Linked DNA regions of Anolis sagrei. The protein of the gene in region 2 interacts with the protein of the main gene of each other region in a pairwise test. Links are inferred from orthologs where the notes say so. Each region holds a gene or a part of one and is shown on either strand. Other genes may lie near its edges.

Evidence for each region. The genes of interacting proteins can lie anywhere in the genome.
Region 1: the proteins of MBIP (region 2) and PPFIA1 interact in binary tests that used the Homo sapiens proteins (3 or more experiments, as listed by UniProt). The two-hybrid records come from large-scale screens. The link is inferred for Anolis sagrei from reciprocal best matches to the Homo sapiens genes MBIP and PPFIA1.
Region 3: the proteins of MBIP (region 2) and PLEKHF2 interact in binary tests that used the Homo sapiens proteins (3 or more experiments, as listed by UniProt). The two-hybrid records come from large-scale screens. The link is inferred for Anolis sagrei from reciprocal best matches to the Homo sapiens genes MBIP and PLEKHF2.

The regions. Positions count from the first base shown.
Region 1 is NC_090021.1:267,216,252-267,220,004, reverse strand, and holds the start of PPFIA1 (liprin-alpha-1), read right to left. Parts: upstream 2,854-3,753; 5' UTR 1,832-2,853; intron 1-1,831. UniProt on the Homo sapiens protein: May regulate the disassembly of focal adhesions. May localize receptor-like tyrosine phosphatases type 2A at specific sites on the plasma membrane, possibly regulating their interaction with the extracellular environment and their association with substrates.
Region 2 is NC_090021.1:301,829,667-301,833,419, reverse strand, and holds the start of MBIP (MAP3K12-binding inhibitory protein 1), read left to right. Parts: upstream 1-775; 5' UTR 776-858; coding exon 859-990; intron 991-3,753. UniProt on the Homo sapiens protein: Inhibits the MAP3K12 activity to induce the activation of the JNK/SAPK pathway. Component of the ATAC complex, a complex with histone acetyltransferase activity on histones H3 and H4.
Region 3 is NC_090024.1:33,460,977-33,464,729, forward strand, and holds the start of PLEKHF2 (pleckstrin homology domain-containing family F member 2), read right to left. Parts: upstream 2,276-3,753; 5' UTR 2,152-2,275; intron 1-2,151. UniProt on the Homo sapiens protein: May play a role in early endosome fusion upstream of RAB5, hence regulating receptor trafficking and fluid-phase transport. Enhances cellular sensitivity to TNF-induced apoptosis.

The DNA.
Region 1 (3,753 bases), about 35 Mb from region 2:
GGAAAGCTTGCAATAAATGGAAAAAGGATGAGGAAGGTTTAATATAATAGTTTACAAAGCGTTATAGTCACATGTAATTATTCATATAATTTTGATAATATCTAAATGTAAACATTATTCCTAAATAGCTAAATTATTTTCAGTTTTGAGAATAAAAATCTCTATGATGTTTTGTTACATGCTATTGAAAGAAGAAGGCATGAGAAGGCATGCTGAGAAAGTACACTGGCAGAAAGTTAGTAGTCCTTAATAATGTAGTGTTCTGAAGAACATGGGAGAATGGGGCTGGGATTAATGAATAATATACACTAGATCAGTAGTACATATCTATACCTTCAAGTAGGTTCCAACCTAAGATGAGCCTAAGGTAAACTTATCATGTGGCTTCCTGAGGTTGAATCAACCAATGAATTTCCATGGCCAAGCAGGGTTTCAAACCCTGATCTCCAGCATCATAGTCCAACACTCAAACCACTACAATTTTTGGCCTCGAGGACATGGCATCAGAGGAAGAATAATAAAAGTGGAGAATTGTAAGTTAATTAAAAAGTAGTGCAGATCAAAAAGTAATGTGGTTGTATTAGTACTCCCTTTAAACTGTTCCAGGAAAGTATCAGAGGAACTGAACAAGGCCCTTGCAAACAAATAGTTGATTTTTAAAATTACAGTGATTGAAGAGGTCTCTAAACTTGAATGTAAATGTATATGTATCTGTACATTTCAGTACAACACTAGAATTCTTTTAACAACCAGAACAAATCTCAGTTTCCAAACATAGGGAGTGTTTTAATTAAAGCAAACCACGTTCAATTAAAGCCAACTATTCCAATAATGTTCTTTATCCTTCTTTAGATGATCACCATGAAACATAAGCTAGCAATTTTGCCAAGGGACCTTCCATGAGATAAATTCCACTCCCCATATGTTTATGATTCTATAGTAATGAAAATGAACTTTATAGTTAACTCTTAACAACCAGCAACAAGTAAACAAGAGTTTAAGCCACTCAGAGTCCTCTGGGGAGATGGGGTGGGATATAAATAAAGTTGTATTATTATATCATTATTACACAACACATGGAGAGTGGAATGTATTTCAAGTTATTGTTCTGGGCCCTTCCACACAGCCATATAACCCAGACTATCAAGGCAGAACATCCCACAATATCTGTTTTGAACTGGGGGCCCTTCCACACAGCCATATAACCCAGAATAGGAAGGCAGAATAACCCACAGTATCGGCTTTGAACTGTGTTATCTGAGTCCACAGCCATATATCCAAGTTCAAAGCTGATAATGTAGAATTTCATTCAGCTGTGTGGGAAGGGGGGCGTGTGGGTTATTTGAGGGCCCTTCCACACAGCGCTATATCCCAGAATACCAAGGCACAAAATCCCACATTATATGTGTGTGGACTCAGATAACCGAGTTCAAAGCAGATTTTCTGCCTTGATATTCTGGGATATAGGGCTGTGTGGAAGGGCCCTGATTCCACACTGCTATATATCTCAGTTCAAAGCAGATAATGTAGGATTTCATTCAGCTGTGTGGAAGGGGGGCGTGTGTGGGTTATCTGAGGGCCCTTCCACACAGCACTATACCCCAGAATTTCAAGGCAGAAAATCCCTCATTACATGTGTGTACTCAGATAACCCAGTTCAAAGCATATATTCTGGGATATAGGGTTGTGTGGAAAGGCCCTGAACCCACACTGCCTTATATCCCAGTTTAAAGCAGATAATGTGGGATTTTATTCAGCTGTACGGAAGGGGCCTCTCAATAACTACATTATCTGCTTTGAACTACTACAGACTTCCACTGCTTTCCTTTACCTTGCTTGAGGAAAAGAAATGGTTTTAGGAGGCCAAGGTATTTTTTCCAGCAATATCAGCTCTCTTTAGGAACTTTGCATAACGATTTCCAAGTATATTTCCAAGGGTGGAGCAGCCACCCAACCAGGCTATACAACATCCACAAAGATTCACATAAGGCAATAAATAATCCTGCTGAGGGGTAAAAAAAAAAATACTTCAACAGGAGCAGCAAATAGTCCAGTTCGCAAATGGAGACGATGAGCGCAGACTTCAGCTCGATTCCTATTTCATCCTGATCCACAGGTCTTTTAAAGAAATATACTCTTTTAAAAACACAACAACAAAGAAGCGAAGAAAGCCAGTGCGTTGTGGTTTTTTCAGTGCTTCTGGGCCAACGATGGCGAACAAACAATACACGTTACAGAGACTCCTCGCTTGAGGTCATGAGGGCAGGACTATAAAAACACAAGAGGTACAAATGAGCAGAGGCGATGAACCAAGCGGGAAGGCACTCCTCCTGTGGGGCCCTTGCTAGGCAGCTGAGGGTCCTTTCCTCCTTTCGCGTTCCCGGCTCCTCTCGGCCGCCTTTAGAGCGGTTCCTCTTTCTCCGGCTGAAGCGAGGGCATGAGGGAGGCCAGGGAGTCCGAAGGGGAAGAGGCACGGGGGCTTCTCCTCCTCCTCTCTCCCGCTCTCTCCTCCTTCCCCGGCCCTCTTCCCTGCCCGAGGAGTGAGTGGGTGAGGGTCCGGGGCGGGCTCCTGAGGAGACGAGGCCCAGGCCGGCGCTCCGCCCCCTCCACGTCCGAGCAGCCAGGTCTCCCGCCCGAAGGAAGGGGCTGCCTCCGTCCCGCGGCGGTGGCGGCGGCTTGGGCCCGGGAGAGGCCGCTCTGGGAGTCCGCCCTTGGAGCCGGAAGGGTCCCGCCGTCACTGCCTCCAGCCGGGCCCGCCGCCGCCTCCTCCTCCTTCTTCTCCTTCTCCTCCTTCGCCGCCTCCTTCGCTGTTCCTGCTCTTCCCGGCAGCCTTTGCGGCTCCTGTACACAGCCGCGCGTGGCCCACAATGCACCGCGGGAGGCGCTCCGCTCTTTCTCTCCATCCCAACCTGGCTCTCTCGCGCCTCCTCTGGCCAGGAAGCGGGATTGCACAAGGGAAGCTTTTCTTGCTGCTGGGTTGTTGTAGGTTTTTTCGGGCTATTTATTATCATTATTATTATTATTATTATTATTATTATTATTATTAATTTTATTTGTACCCCACTAGCATCTCCCGAAGGACTCGATGCGGCTAACACAGGCCAAGGCCTCAAAACACAATACAACAATACAATACCTAAAGCAAATTAAAAACAGTTAAGCAGAATAAACAACAAACAGTAAACAATACATCAAGACACTATAAAACTGGGCCGGGCCAGAGTAATGGGTGCAAGATTAAAAGTGCTGATGTGGCAGGAGGTATGTAGGATTATAAGTAAGTGCAGAGTGCAGTGTGCAGTAATCTTAGTTCTACTAAAGTGCTTCTGGGACTTGGTATTGGAGGTTCCTAATCTGAGAAGGCACATCGGAACAGCCAGGTCTTCAAGTTCTTTCTGAAGACTGCCAGTGTAGGGGCCTGTCTGAGATCTCTTGGGATGGTGTTCCAGAGTCGGGGGGCCACCACAGAAAAGGCCCTGTCTCAAGTCCCCACCAAGCGCGCTTGCGACGCAGGCGGGATCACGAGCAGGGCCTCTCCAGATGACCAAAGTGAACTTGTGGGTTCGTAGACGGAGATGCGGTCACGCAGGTAGGGTGGTCCCAAACCGTTCAGGGCTTTGTAGGTAAGCACCTGCACCTTAAATTGGGCTCGGAAGATAAACGGCAGCCAGTGGAGCTCCTTGAACAGGAGGGTTGACCTCTCTCTGTAATGGTACATGGTTAACATCCTGGCCGCTGCCCGTTGGACCAGTT
Region 2 (3,753 bases):
CTGCCTTGGTCCTTTCACTATTGGCTGCCACTTCCCGGCGGATGTCAGGTGGTGCGATACCGGCTAGACAATGTAATTTCTCCAGTGGTGTAGGGTGCAGACACCCCATGATAATGCGGCATGTCTCATTAAGAGCCACATCCACTGTTTTAGTGTGGTGAGATGTGTTCCACACTGGGCATGCATACTCAGCAGCGGAGTAGCACAGCGCAAGGGCAGATGTCTTCACTGTATCTGGTTGTGATCCCCAGGTTGTGCCAGTGCCCACTTTTTGCTTGATGTTCAGGCAGTGCTTCTTGTAGGTAAGAGCACGGTCCAGAGTGACTCCCAGGTATTTGGGTGCGCTGCAATGCTCCAGTGGGATTCCTTCCCAGGTGATCTTCAGAGCTCAGGATGCTTCTCTGTTCTTGAGATAAAAGGCACATGTCTGTGTTTTAGATGGCAATTCCCATGACTCCATAGCATTGAGCCTTTGCAGTTAAAGAGGAGTAAAATGCAATCATTCTGCAGTGTAGATGCACCCATAAAAAGTGAAAGAGAAGGCTGATTAGCTTATAAAACTGCAACTCCCATGATTCCATAGCACTGAGCCATGGCAGTTAAAAGTGGCATCCAAGTACAAGCCTGCTGCAGCGTAGAGCACCCAACTTCCCTTGCGCATGCGCGTTCCAGGAGCCAGGGCCTTTAGAACCTTCCTAAATCCTCAAGCCATTCCACGCTGGCCGTCAATCTTGAGCCTGGAGGGGGCGGAGCAAAGGGCGGGCTCTTGGAACGGAGGGAGCGCTGTCGTCATCGACGCGCGACCACGTCCAAGGGGGCGAGGTATGGCGAGGGTTGCCTTGGCGCTGAGCGGCTGTCATGGCGTCCACCGGGGAAGGGAGCTGCTCTGGTGAAGCCGAGGCCTCCGCCCGGGCGGGGAACTCCTCCGAAGAGGCGCTCCGAGAGATCCTGAGGGACTCCCTGCGTGTGCTGCTTCGGCTGGCAGAGGAGGTGAGTGGGCCGAGGGGAGCCGTGAGAGAACAGGCGGCGGAAAGGGGAACCGGGCTGGAAGTTGAGGTGGGGAAGGGGAGAAGCGGGCTTTGGTTGGCGAGGGAGTTTAACAGGCCCCATTCTAAAGGTGCCCCAGACCCTCTTTGCTTGATTTGCAAAATTCTGGCTAGTATTTCGAGTGCTTTTTTCCCACAATTTCACTGGATATCCCAGGCAGGGGCCAACTTGGGCCCTCCGGGTGTTTTGGACTTCAACTCCCACAATTCCTAACAGCCAGTAGGCTGTTAGGAATTGTGGGAGTTGAAGTCCAAAACACCCGGAGGGCCCAAGTTGGCCCCTGCCTGGGATATACACTGCCATATAATGCAGTTTGCGCATTACATTAAAGGACATCAACATTATAGAATGATTGCAGTGTGACACTACTTAAACCAATCATGGCTCAATGCTATGGAATCATGAGAGAAGTAGTTTCAAAGGTCTTCAGCCATCTCTGCCAAAGAGTGCTGTGACCTCATGAAATTACAACTCCCATCAAGCCAGGGCGGTTAAAGCGATGTCAAATGCATTAATTCTATAATGTAGATGGCCCCAAGGGCCTCCTGATGGTGCAGCAGTTTAACCACCAAGCTGCTGAACTCGCTGACCGAAAGCTTGCTGGTTTGAATATGGGGAGTGGGGTGAGCTCCTGTTGTTAGGCCCAGCTTCTGCCAACCTAGCAGTTCGAAAACATGCAAATGTGAGTAGATGAATAGGTACTGCTTTGGTGGGAAGGTAATGGCCTTCCTTGCAGTCATGCCGGCCACATGTCTTAGGAGGCATCTACAGACAGCATTTCTAAGCTCTTCGGATTAGAAATGGAGATGAGCACCACACCCCAGTCAGACACGACTAGACTTAATGTCAAGGGAAAATCTTTATCTTTACCTTTTTTGGATGGCCCCATTTGTACAGTTTCAAGCCAGTATTGAAGACACTGGTTTCAGCTGTGCTGATGCTTACATAGAAAATTTTGGAACCAATTTGAGGCCTGGATAGTGATTGCACAAACCACTGGTGCACATTAAGGGCTTTCTTTCACACACTTTTGCAGTAGCTTGTGGTCTGAGACTAGCCTCAAACTACATTAAATTGCCAGCATAGTTTGTTTTTCAAGGGTGGCTGTTGCCATGTGCATTCAAGCAATTTCTGGCCAAATGAGACTGTTAGGCAGTGATTCTCGACCTGTGGGTCCCCAGGTGTTTTGGCCTACAACTCCCAGAAATCCCAGCCAGTTTACCAGCTGTTATGATTTCTGGGAGTTGAAGGCCAAAACATCTGGGGACCCACAGTTTGAGATCCACTGCCCTATCACACAGTTTTCTTGACACAATTTGTTCAGGAGAGGTTTGTCCTTGTCTTCCTCTGAGTCAGAGAGTGTACGACTTGCCCATGGTTGTCCAGTGGGTTCATGACTATGTAAATTCAGAATTATCTTAATTCTAAGTTGCATCCTTCCTATCTTGCTCCATTCAATGGAGTTTTGAGCTCTAGTTTTGTGTATACATAAGAAATTACATCTGTCTCCCTGGACATACTTCATCATTTTGCAGAAGTGACCAGTCTTGCACCCTAACTGTGCTAGAAAGAAAACTCTGAAGTTTCACAAGGCATCTGATAGGAATAAGGAATGTGGATCATTGGAAGTAGAAATTGTACAAAAATGGGAAATACAAACCTTGTGATAAAAGCTTGAGTATCCCATTGTCTGAAATGCTTAGGACCAGAGGTGTTCTGTATTTCAGATTTTATCTGGAGTTTTCAATACTACCATATTCATAATGAGATATCTTGGAGATGAGATCCAAGTCTTAACACAAAATTCATTGTTGTTTTGTATATATCTTACACAAATAGTCTGAAAGTAATTTTATGTACCATATAAAAATGTTCTTGAAGCAAACGTTGGTGTATATTAAACCATCAAAGTCAGGGTGTCACTATATCAGCCATCCATGTGGACAGTTTGGGATTTTGGAATACTTCAGGTAGGGGATGCTCATCCTGTAAATGGTGTGAGGAAACTAATGTCAATAGGAATTTTCAGTGCAATAATTACATAACGTTTTACTCAGGAAATTACCATCTAAGAAATCAGATGGAATGCATAATAAATTGTAATATAGTAAAAGCAATCAGGAAATATAATTTAAAGTTAGACCAAGTAATTTCATGGAATAACTATGAAAATAATTTTAATCCAAGTTTATGCTCCCAATTCTGTTGGTAGAAAATAAAAAATCAATGCAATCTATGCAGGCTTTCAGGAATAAATCAATCAGACATATTGATCATGGGTGATTGAATCTCAGTGGGAAGAAAAAGAGGAGAACCAAGCATTTTTGGCCTAGAATAAAAAATGAAGCAGGAGAGGGACTGATGAAATTTTGTGAAGGCATCGGGCTTTTGTTGTTACAAAGACATTATTTAGGCATTTGAAAAGATTTATACATGTACATTATTGTATGACTAATACTGAATTAAAAATGTATAATTGGAAGGAGAAAATGGAGAGGCTCAATTCTTTCTCCAAAAACAATACTAGGAACAGATTGTGACACAGGCCATGAACTGCTAATATCAAAAATTAGAGAAAACGTAATAAAATGCATTAAATCAATTGTAATCTATATATATAAATCTGTTAGGTTGGTTCAACGGGACAGCAAAACTCCACAACCCCCCAACGGAACTTAACCAAAATTCCCATGCCCATAACACAAC
Region 3 (3,753 bases), on a different chromosome or scaffold from region 2:
ATATATGCACACATATGAATCTCCGCTTCAGTTTTGTACACAACTCTGACAGGAATAAAGCTTCCCAATAGTAAGCAAAGCGTGATGCATGCATGTGTGTGTGTGTGTGTGTGTGTGTGTGTGTGTGTGTGTGTATATATATATATATATATATATGGGAGAGACTGTGCATATTTGTGTGTAAATGCATCCGTTCTCTATAGTTTTGTACACAACACTGACAGGAACACAACTTCCCAGTAGTAAGCAAAGTGATGCATGTGTGTGTGATTCTCTCTGTATGTGTGTATGTGTAAATGAATCCCCTTTTCTTCAGTTTTGTACACAATTTTGACAGGAATAACACTTCCAGTAGTAAGCAAAAAGATTCATTTCTGTGTGTGTGTGTGTGTGTGTGTGTGATTCTCTCTATATGTGTGTATGTATTCAGTTTTGTACACAACCTTGACAGGAATAAAGCTTCCAGTAGTAAGCAAAGTGTGGCAAAATGGCAAAAGAAAGTGCAAAAGTGAAGTTTGCAATCCTCTATTCTCTCTCTCCCTCTCTATCTATCTATCTATCTATCTATCTATCTATCTATCTATCTATCTATCTATAAATTATACACACAAACACAGAGACATTATTTATGTACACATATGAATCTCCGCTTCAGTTTTGTACACAACATTGACAGGAATAAAGCTTCCCAATAGTAAGCAAAGCATGATGCATGTATGTGTGTATATGTGTGTGTGTGTGTGTGTGTGACTGTGCATATTTGTGAGTATGCGAATCCCGTTCTCTACAGTTTTGTACACAACTTTGACAGGAATACAACTTCCCAATAGTAAGCAAAGTGATGCATTTGTGTGTGTGTGTGTATGTGTGTGTGTGATTCTCTCTATGTGTAAATGAATCCCCTTTTCTTCAGTTTTGTACACAACTTTGACAGGAATAAAGCTTCCAGTAGTAAGCAAAGTGTGGCAAAATGGCAAAGGAAAGTGCAAAAGTGAAGTTTGCAATCCTTTATTCTACATAAACAGAGACATTATTTATGTTTTGTACACAACCTTGACAGGAACACAACTTCCCAGTAGTAAGCAAAGTGATGCATTTGTGTGTGTGATTCTCTCTCTGTGTGTATGTGTAAATGAATCCCCTTTTCTTCAGTTTTGTCCACAACCTTGACAGGAATAATGCTTCCAGTAGTAAGCAAAGTGATGCATTTGTGTGTGTGTGTGATTCTCTCTCTGTGTGTATGTGTAAATGAATCCCCTTTTCTTCAGTTTTGTCCACAACCTTGACAGGAATAACGCTTCCAGTAGTAAGCAAAGTGATGCATTTGTGTGTGTGTGTGATTCTCTCTGTATGTGTGTATGTGTAAACGAATCCCCTTTCCTTCAGTTTTGTACACAACTCTGACAGGAACACAACTTCCCAGTAGTAAGCAAAGTGATTCATTTGCGTGTGTGTGATTCTCTCTCTGTATGTATGTGTAAATGAATCCCCTTTTCTTCAGTTTTGTACACAACATTGACAGGAACACAACTTCCCAGTAGTAAGCAAAGTGATGCATTTGTATGTGTGTGTGTGATTCTCTCTGTATGTGTGTATGTGTAAATGAATCCCCTTTTCTTCAGTTTTGTACACAACTTTGACAGAAATAACACTTCCAGTAGTAAGCAAGGTGTGGCAAAATGGCAAGAGAAATTGTGAAAGTGAAGTTTGCAATCCTTTCTTCAACACACACACACATTACATATATACACACAACTATCCGAATGCCTACTTGCTGGGGCTGTGCCTATTTGGGGGGGGGGGGGCATCCATCCCCTGAGGGCCAGGAGTTTCCCTCCCTCCCTCCTCAGTTTGTCACACTTTGGGAAACACACGCGGAAGTGGGCAAGAGTTCGGCCAAATTGTCGTCCAAGCAGCCGGCCCTCGACGGGCACGAAAGGAGCCGAGAGACCCGTCCTCCCCCCCCCCCCCCCGGGCCTCGCTTTCTCCTTTCTCCCCTCCCCTCCTCACGGGAAGAGATCCCCCGAGTGGCGGGATCCCATCCCAACATGGCCGCGGGTTCCCCGAGGAGGAGCGCGAGGCAAAGTTTCTCCTTCCTTCCCTCACTCCCTCTTCCCTCCCCAAAAAAAGCGGCGCCGAGAGGTTGCTTACGGAGAAGCCGATGGGCGCCCTCCTGCCCGGCTCCCTTTCCTCTCCTCTCGCTCCGTCGACGGCTGCTGCTACTGCTGGAAGTCCTGCTGCCCCGCCCGGAGAGGGAGAGAGAGAGGAGGAGGAGGAGGCGCCATCATCCCGCCCCAGGGAGAAGGAGGAGGAGGGGCCGCCGCCATCTTGGGAGGGAGGGAGGTAGGCCGCCCCCACGGTTTTCACCCTCAGAGCTCCTCTTTGGACGCCTCTACACCAGGCCTGAGCAAACTTGGGCCCTCTCTTCAGCTGTTTTGGACTCTCAACTCCCTCCATTCCTATTTATTTATTTATTTGCCTCATTTATTTCTTTATTTTCGACATTTATACGCCGCCCTTCTCACCCCGAAGGGGACTCACGGCAGCTTACAAGTTATATGTACCTATAATCTTCTCTATACAATCAGGCACTTCAATTCACTCTCAACAAGAGATTCCCCCCAGGCGCTTCCAGGCCATTGAATACAAATCAAGGTGCTCGTGATCCCACCAGCGTCGCAAGCGCGCTTGGTGGGGACGCGGGACAGGGCCTTTTCCGTGGTGGCCCCCCCCGACTCTGGAACACCCTCCCCAAAGACCTTAGACAGGCTCCTACATTGGCTGTCTTCAGAAAGAACTTGAAGACCTGGCTTTTCCAATGCACCTTCCCAGATTAGGAAATCTCCACTACCAAGTCCCATAAGCACTTTATCAGAACCAATGATTGCTGCACATCGCACATCGCACTTGCCCTGGAAGCCCTATATACACCTCCTGTCACATCAGCACTTTTAATCTTGTACCCATTGCTCTGGCCCGGCCCAGTTTTATTGTGTTTAGTGTATTGTGCCTGTTGTTTATTTTGCTTTATTCTGTTTTTAATTGTTTGATTTGCTTAGATTGTATTGTTGTGTTGTGTGTTGAGGCCTCGGCCTGTGTAAGCCACATCGAATCCTTCGGGAGATGCTATTTGAGAACACAGAAGTGCTGGACCACTCTCACAACCACCATGTCAGACTACACAGAGAAGCCTTTGATATCCACAAGCATGTGGACAATTTCAACAGAAATTGTCCACATGCTTGTACAAATAAAGTTTAATAATAATAATAATAATCAGCTGAAACATTACCCTGGTCATTCCACAGATATATAAACCCATTTTTCCTACTACCAACAGACCCCACTACCTCTGAGGATGCTTGCCATAGATGCAGGCGAAACGTCAGGAGAAAAATTGCCTCCAGAACATGGCCATATAGCCCAGAAAAACCTATAACAACCCAGTGATCCCGGCCATGAAAGCCTTCGACAATACAATCTTCTATATAAATAAAAATGTAATGTTCGTTTGTAAGATTAACATAACTCAAAAACCACTGGGCGAATTGACACCAAATTTGGACACAAGACACCTAACAACCCAATGTATGGCCTTCACTCAAAACTTTCTGATTTTGTCATTTGGGAGTTGTAGTTCTTGGGATTTATAGTTCACCTACAATCAAAGAGCATTCTGAACTCCACCAATGATGGAATTGGACCAAAGGTGACACACAGGACTCCCATGACCAACAGAAAAGACTAGAATGA